Linked DNA regions of Pelodiscus sinensis. The protein of the gene in region 2 interacts with the protein of the main gene of each other region in a pairwise test. Links are inferred from orthologs where the notes say so. Each region holds a gene or a part of one and is shown on either strand. Other genes may lie near its edges. The genes, in order: SHC2 and FLT1.

Region 1 (3,898 bases), on a different chromosome or scaffold from region 2:
GATTAGGGCTGCTAGGTGGCAGCAGGTCCACCCGCCCTTACCTATGATGAGTGGCTGTTTCAGGCTGCAGTTCCCCTGAGGCAGGGGTGTGATGATGCCTGGCAGTGGGTCACTGAGGCAAGGTGGGTGTGGGGGAATTGGGGGTCCTGAGGGAGGGGAGGACCCAGAGAGCAGGGGCACTGACCTAGGCCAGTACTAGGAGGGAAGGGCCAAGGGGCTGAACGGCAGCAGACCTGTGCCAGAGACTGGGATCCTGACCAGCAGAGGGCGCTCTGATGCAGGGAGCTGGTTCCCTGCCTGGCCAGAGGGAGGCGCTGGTGAGCGCGTGGCCCTTTGTCCTCTAGTGCAGAGCCCGTCGGATTTGGCCCAGAACCATGCTAGTGACTCGACTAGTTGCCGTCTCTTCTATCAGAGGCAGCAAGGGGGGAGCAGGAGCCGGTGCTGGGGGGAGCTTGCTGAAAAAGTGGCTCCCCCCAGCACTGTCTCTGTGGGGGGTAGCAGGGGAAAGGGGGCGAGTGGGGCTGAGCAGTCCTGGCTCAGGCTGGGTCCCCGATGCTGCGGCTCTGCTTTGTAACCAGCGTAAGAGCCTGGCGGTTTAGTGCAGCGGAGAAGCAGCGCTGTGGCGAATCCCCTTATCGACTGGTCGATGGACATGCCAGCGATTGGCTTGCTAAGCGCTACTGACATCCCCGTGCTGGCGCGTGTCACGTCCGTGGCTGGGCGGGCGAGGGAGCCCCTGTGGCTGTGGCTAGACCCTGCGACGGTGTCGCTCGGGTGGGTGTGTGGGCAGCCGGCGACGGGAGGCTGCCGTGGGGAACTGCCATCTCCCAGGAGACACGTGGGGCCGAATTCTCTAGCGGTGCCCCCTGACGGTGCTGGGTGGCACCCGTGGGCCCCAGCAAGAGGCTCGTTCCCCACAGAGGTCGGGGTCCATCCCAGACACTTAACAGAAAAAGCCCAGGCAAGGCCCAAGCCGTTCGTGGCAGCTCCTCCAGGTGGGTGAGCCGCTGAGCAGGCGAAGGGGCCCACAGTGAGCCGGTTGCACGGGATGTAACTGGGGGCAGAATCTGACCCACAGCTGTCCTGACATTATCTCGTCAATTGCTGCAAAATGCCGTCAGTGGCTGATTCATTCTCTAGTCCCTTCCCTACTGGCTGGAGAACTAGTGCCTGTCCGGTCCCTGGCTGGTTGGGGGGGGCCCCTCTCCCAGGTCCCTGGCTGGTTGGGGGGGGGGCCCTCTCCCAGGTCCCTGGCTGGTTGGGGGGGGGCCCTCTCCCAGGTCCCTGGCTGGTTGGGGGGGGGGGCCCTCTCCCAGGTCCCTGGCTGGTTGGGGGGAGCCCCTCTCCCAGGTCCCTGGCTGGTTGGGGGGGGGGCCCTCTCCCAGGTCCCTGGCTGGTTGGGGGGGGGCCCTCTCCCAGGTCCCCACGGCTTGGTAACATTCTCTCGAGCTCATCCACAAACGGCTGGGCTCCTGCACGAAGCGCCAGGTGACCGTCTCTGGCGAGCGACCTGCAGGAGGTCGGACTAGCTGATTGGAACAGTCCGTCGGGTTTCATGAAGCGGCTCTATAATCCCTGGGGGTGGGCTCCCCGTTCCTTCCCCCTCCTGCGGGCTCCGGGGGGTCCCGTTGCTTGGCAGAGACAAGGGGGTGCAGGGGAAGGCCATCAGGCTAGCTTGCTAGTGCCGGTGGCTGGCGAGCCCCAGCCCTGGCAGGGTCCCTGGGTGGGAGGGGAAGCTGGAAGACGAAGCCCGTTACCCCAGGACCTGCCGAGCGGGCAGAGCCACCCCCAGAGGCTGCGTGCGACAGGGACTCCTCCCTCGGCCTGTTGGCCGACTGCTCTGCCTCTGTCCAGTGCTGACAGATGCCGTGTGCGGCGGGGGGAGCCGAGCCGGCCAGGCCTGCGGCAGCACTGCTGCTGAGCAATAGCATCATGACATCATTGTGTGAGCGGAGCCTCCCCCGGGAGGCGGGGGGTGGGGGCCGGAGGGGCAGGCCAGCGAGCGGGCGCGGCGCAGAGCACGCCCGGCCGGCACTCTAAAAGCACTTAGCCAGGCAGGCAGCGGCAGGGCATGCTCCCGGAGCCCAAGTATGGCCGCTTTCGCAATGGCTCAGTGACCCCCTCGGAGGACCCAGCCATGAGCAGCCAGGTGGCGGCCGCCGCCCCGGCCCCCTCGGCGCCTGCCGCCCTGGCACAGCCTTGCCCGCCGCTGGGCGACGCCCGCTTGCCGGAGGAGCAGGAGCCCGGGACCACCTTCTGCATGCTCATCCCCAGGATCCCCCAGTGGAAGTTCTCCAGCCCCTCCGGCTTCCTGAGCCGCAGCCCCTCCAGCGCCAGCAAGGACCTGTCGGCCCCGGCCAAGCCGGGGGGCCCCGGAGAGGCTGGGGGGCCCTCCTCCGGCCTGGCCGCTGTCCTGAGCGCCTGCGAGCCGGTCTGCCACTCTCCCTGCTCCCTGCAGGTGATGAGCCGGTTCCGAGGCGGGGGCGGCAGGAAGGCGGCTCGGGTCGAGGGGGTCAAGCTGGCCGGCGAGGAATGGAACCGGAAAGGCAGCTTCATCAACAAGCCGGCGCAAGGCTGGCTCCATCCGGACGAGCGGGTCCTGGGACCGGGGGTCTCCTACATCGTCAGGGTAAGCCTGTTTCTCCAGCCTCCCCGCCCCTCGGGCCCACCTGGCTCTGGCTCCCGCGCTGAGCCAGCGGGCGCTGAACGGGGGCTGCGCTGCCCGGGCGCCTCTCGCTAGGAGCTGGCAGCTGGGAAGGGGCCAGGTGCCCCCGGCCATGGGGGGAGGGAGGTTTGGGGGCTTCCCCTGCTTGATCCCCAGAGTCGCGAGGGTCTCGCTCCTTCAAGTTCTCTTTGTTCAAGGCCCCACAGCCCAGCTGTCACCCGGCCTGGGGAGGGGTTGGTGTTGCATCGCCAAAGGCGGCCGCCGCTCCGCCCCGTCAGCTGGGACTTATCTACGGGCTGAGCCCTTTGGGGGAAACCTGGCCCCGGCCGGCCAATTGGCCCTGGTTTAAAACCCGCAGCACTGAGCCCTCGTCCTTCGCTGGGCAGGGGTCTCCAGGCACAACTTGATGAACTGAGTCCTAGAATTGGGGGGTGGGGTATTAACGCCTCCCCGGAGCCAGGAATGGAGAAACTGAGGCACAAAGCAGGGAGGGTTGCACAGTGGAACTGGGGTGAAGCCAGGAGCAGAGCCCAGCTCCCCGACTCCCAGGCCAGCATCAGCCACGGTCCCCCGGGCTCCTGTTCTCCTTCAGGCTGGCTTGACACCACAGCGTTGACTTCGGCCGAGCTGCTGGTCAGGGCAGAGTCTGCCTTCAAGTGTCTCCAAAGTTGTGTGGGCGGCTTGGCTGAGGGACGAGGGCCCAGGGGACTTGGGGAGCTGGGTTCGTTTCCCTGCTCCGCTACAGACTCCAGGGGTGAGTCGCTTAGTTTAGCTTTGCCTCAGTTTCCCTGGCTGTACGTGGTGGGGAGGGGAGGGGGTAATAGCCCCGCCTTCCAGGGGATTGTGAGAACTCCCTCGGAGGTGGGGAGGGGTTCAGCTACCATGGTGATGGGCTGGTTTGAGCTTTGGTTTCCAAAGGGCTCTGCCTTGTATCATTTCTGCCCCCCCACCCGCCCCAGGAAGCACTGTGGGGCGGTGACACCAGTGAGACCCCCCACGCCCTGGGACTGCAGGTCTTAACACTGAGGCCTGCGTGTGGCTTGAGGGGCCGGGGGTGCGTGTCCCACTGGGCCTGCGGCTGGGTCCTGACACGACGACTCTGATTTCAGGGCCCGGGGTGCTGGGAGCCAGGGGGAGCCTGCCCGGCCCGTGGGCGAAAGAGGCCCGGCGGGGCTGGCCGAGGCGGGAGCCATCTCCCCCTCGCGCGCCCGGGTGTGACCGCTGACCCCGCCG
Region 2 (3,898 bases):
CAAGTGACAGAATAGGAGACTTTGTAGGATAGATAATGACCATATACTGTAGTTAGTGTGTTGGCATACATGCCCCATCACCAGTTTCCCATCCCAACTGAAAATCACTAGCAGGATTTGACCCCACTGCCTCTAATTGTATATATGCAGACAGAGCTGTATTCTCAATGCTTTTCAAGTCAAAATCTGTCAATGAAACAATACAATATTTTGGGACTGTTTTACTCACATGCACAAATTATTTCTATTACTGCCAGGACTTTATGAAATCAGCACAGCCTTTATAACTGTACTGGGCATCAGCTATTCAGGCAGGATTTAATAGAAACCAGAAGGTAGAATAGTTTGCCGGAAAATGTAACACTTAACTGGCTCTGTAATCTTCCTTACAAATAATTTATAGCACATCATGCAACAGAATAATTTGATTACGCTCATGTAAAAATATTTGCTACTTACTTAGAAACTCTGATTCAACCTGCCCCTTAGCATAGTCATCACATTGAACAAAATGTAGTTGTCTCTCTGAGGCTAATCTCAATTAGCAATTTTCCTCTGTTGCAGACTTTACATTTGCTTTCCATTATGTGGCAAATCCATACCTGGCTTCAGTATGGTTACACCAGGTCTATATTTGGCCCTGTTTCCACATGCATTTTAGTATTTTCTCACACTTGAACAAGAGCTCTCCTTCTGCCTGGTTCAACTCCCGTGAATCTTCAAACAGCTTTACCTCTCATCTGGAAAGCTCTGTTCCAGCACCAAGAAAAGCAAGCATGCCACTGCAAAAATCCATAACCTTGTGCGCCCCAGCAAATTAGAACTTCGCCCTGCTGGCCCGACTGGTTTGAATGCTCCGAACTGTACCATCAAAACAGACCATGCACATTGCTTAACCAGACAAACCCAGGCTCCAATACTTTTACCGGATCCAGGGAATATGGGCCACAGGTCTCTACATTCTGTTGAGGAAATGGAAACCAAGCGACGTCCTTGCTAAAATACCTGGTCCCTGATACATCCCGGCACACAAGCCCTGGTAACATCCACACATGGACCGGGAGCCACCATGCTATGGCCAATTTTTTTTTCACCTAGATCCGCAATATTTTACTCTCTCTAGAGACAAAGTATAGCTTGAATGAGATAAATCTGTGTCCCGAGCTCTGCTTTGATAGATCTCTGTCCTGGCGGTGCTATTTACCACGCATACTTCAGGATCTGGATCTTAGCAGTGGGATCGGGGCTGGCGCTCTTCTTTCTGGTAGAATTTAAGGCTTTGAGATTTAAAACCCAGCCGCATCTAGGTGCGCACAGGGCTGGATTTTCGGGGTCGCTAATAGTTGCTACATTTTTTCCCCCTTTAAAAATAGGATTTTGCGGAAATAGGATTAAAATGGTCACGACTGAAGTACTCATTGTGCCTCCCACACTGGTCAGATTGATGTTGGACCAGGATGTATCAGAGTCCAGATTGCTCCAGGGAAGTGCGACTACCGCGAGTGTCTGTTTCGATCGTACAATTTACATCCAGTTTTTCCAACATCTTGCGGGAGCCCCGGGCTGAAACCGGGCCCGGGATGCTGCCTGTAGCAAGGAGGGAACCGCTAGCCTTGCTCTTTACATTTCGATGCTACAAGTTGTGGGTTTGGAGCCACAGCGCGGCAGGATCCAGCTTCTCCCCAGCGTTTCACAATGTCTGCCCAGGAGAGTTAGACGGGGCAGCTCCGAGGGGGACCACGGGAACCTGCTTACAGGATAATAGGGGCAGCGCCCCGTTTGGGAGCAAAGCAGCCTCCAGCTGGGAACAGGGGGAGGCAGCGGGGGCCCTGTGGGGAGAGGAGAAATGCCGTCCGGGTGGGACCCCAGCTCCCGTCCCCCTGCGGGTCAGACTCCCCCAGGCACTGCCCGGGATTTGGAGGTGTCTCTCTGGGGCGCAGAGCCTCGCGCAGCCGGCTGTCCCATGGATCATTTAACTTCGACCGTCCTCCTCCCTTCATCCTTCCCCCCGCAGGGGAACGGGCCACTCACCTGCGAAAAGGAGAGCGGGTGCCAGCAGCCCGCACAGCATGGCCCCTGCGAGCGCCCGGCTGCCCATGGTCCTGCCCGGGAGGTGCGCGCAGGGTGGAGAGCTTTGCCCGAGCCTGCTCGGAGAGAGGACGCGGCTCGAGGACACCCAGCAGAGGGGCTGCTGCTCCGGCAGCCGGCCCGGACTCGCTTTCCCCACGGGGGATAAGCTAGTTGGGCAGCAGGTCCCGGGGAGAGATCACCATCCAGCAGCCCCTAGCCCCGGGCAGCGCTGCGCTCCGCTCCGTAAGGGCGCTTCCAGCTGCGCGCTTAAACTCCCGTGGACATCCCTTCGCAGGGAGCTGCCCGCCGCCCGGCTGATTTATAACCTCCACATCCTCCCGGCGGATCACGCCCTCCTCTCTGCGTCACCGGGTCCCCCTCCCCTCCGGAGCCCCCGGCCCCTCCGGCCCCCTGCCGTGCCCTGCTGCCTGCGCAGGAGTGCGGCTGGAGCCAGCGCCCACTTCCCGGCCCCTCCGTGCCCACGCTGCGCTGCCCCCCAGCCCGCCGCCCCCCGTCACTCCCACAGCGCTGCAGTCCCATCGCACCGCGTCCTCCGCCTGCGCTCCCGGCCCCAGCGAGGCTGGGATACACGTGTGTCCTAGTGCTAGTGCATCTGCCCTGCCCTGGCTCTGTTACCCCCCCCCCCCCCCCATCAGCCTGAGTCCGGCTGGGCAGCGCCTCTCCATCGCCGCCAGCCCCACAGCGCGGGGCCCGGCTCCCCCTGCCAGCGCCTCCCCTGGGCACCGGGGGACGGGAGCCGCTGGCTGCAGGCAGATCGCGGGCCCTGCATTGCCTCGGGACCTTCCCGCTAGCGGCTCCCGGGCGGCCCCGGTAAAGTACCGCGGGCTGAGCGCAGCGCGGACGTCCACCTCTGGGCAGTGGCTTCACGCCCTGCAGCTCAGCAAGCGGGGCGCTCGGTGCCGAGCGCTTCTCCCCGCGGGGCTCGCCGAGCTGGGGCGGCCTCCGCACGGCTGCTCACACTGGAGATGCTCCGGGCGACCGGCCCGCTCTCCTTGGGTTGCTCTTTGCTGGCTCCGGGAAAGCCGCAGGGTCTGCCTGCCCGGCGAGGAGCGCAGTGCTCTTGTCACTGGCAGGAACGCCACCGTATTAAGTTCCCTCTCGGCCTCCGCGGGGCGGGTGGGTGCTAAGGACCCCCAGGTCACAGCACGAGCAATCGGAGGCACCAGACCTGAGGCACCTCGTCCAAAGTCACGGGCAGCTCGTGACAATGCCTGCATCCCCTTGGCCCAAGAAGTAAGCCCCTGGTTTCAAATGGGTAGTTTTATCTTTCAACTTTGAAAGTAGTAGAGCAGAGTATCTGTGTGAACTCCCGAAACAGGACTGTGATTTGATCCTGTACTTTCAATACTGTGACCAGAAATAAAAATATGTCTCTATAGAAGCTTCCACCCATGAACCACTGGAAAGGCTGGCTGCTTTTCCAGTCAGAAATTACTCCTGATACTACTGCTCCCAGGAATAGAGAGGGAAGAGCAGCAGCAGGAGACCCAGAAGGAAATTCGTACACTAAGTACCCTGAGGCCTCTCAACACAGACCACAGAAGCAGGGCAGGATAGGTTCCTCCTGGTAGGGGACCTCCAGGAAGAGACAGAGAGGAGAAACAGAAGCAGGATCAGAAGAATGCACCTTCGGAGCTCATTATATCTTCAAAAGTGGTCAGAAGGAGCCAGAAAAGGGGAGGAGGAAAAGGGGGTTGGATGCTGATGATGAAGGATTGAAATTATCCTGACAGGGAGATGAAAAGAACTAGACAATAGACACTTTTAGGGCTAAACTGCAGCTTTTTTTTTTCAATCCTTTTGTCAG

Evidence for each region.
Region 1: the proteins of FLT1 (region 2) and SHC2 interact in a two-hybrid assay, tested with the Homo sapiens proteins (2 studies listed by BioGRID). The link is inferred for Pelodiscus sinensis from reciprocal best matches to the Homo sapiens genes FLT1 and SHC2.

The regions. Positions count from the first base shown.
Region 1 is NC_134729.1:15,712,873-15,716,770, reverse strand, and holds the start of SHC2 (SHC-transforming protein 2), read left to right. Parts: upstream 1-1,494; 5' UTR 1,495-2,071; coding exon 2,072-2,629; intron 2,630-3,898. UniProt on the Homo sapiens protein: Signaling adapter that couples activated growth factor receptors to signaling pathway in neurons. Involved in the signal transduction pathways of neurotrophin-activated Trk receptors in cortical neurons.
Region 2 is NC_134711.1:299,714,961-299,718,858, reverse strand, and holds the start of FLT1 (vascular endothelial growth factor receptor 1), read right to left. Parts: upstream 2,426-3,898; 5' UTR 2,099-2,425; coding exon 2,032-2,098; intron 1-2,031. UniProt on the Homo sapiens protein: Tyrosine-protein kinase that acts as a cell-surface receptor for VEGFA, VEGFB and PGF, and plays an essential role in the development of embryonic vasculature, the regulation of angiogenesis, cell survival, cell migration, macrophage function, chemotaxis, and cancer cell invasion.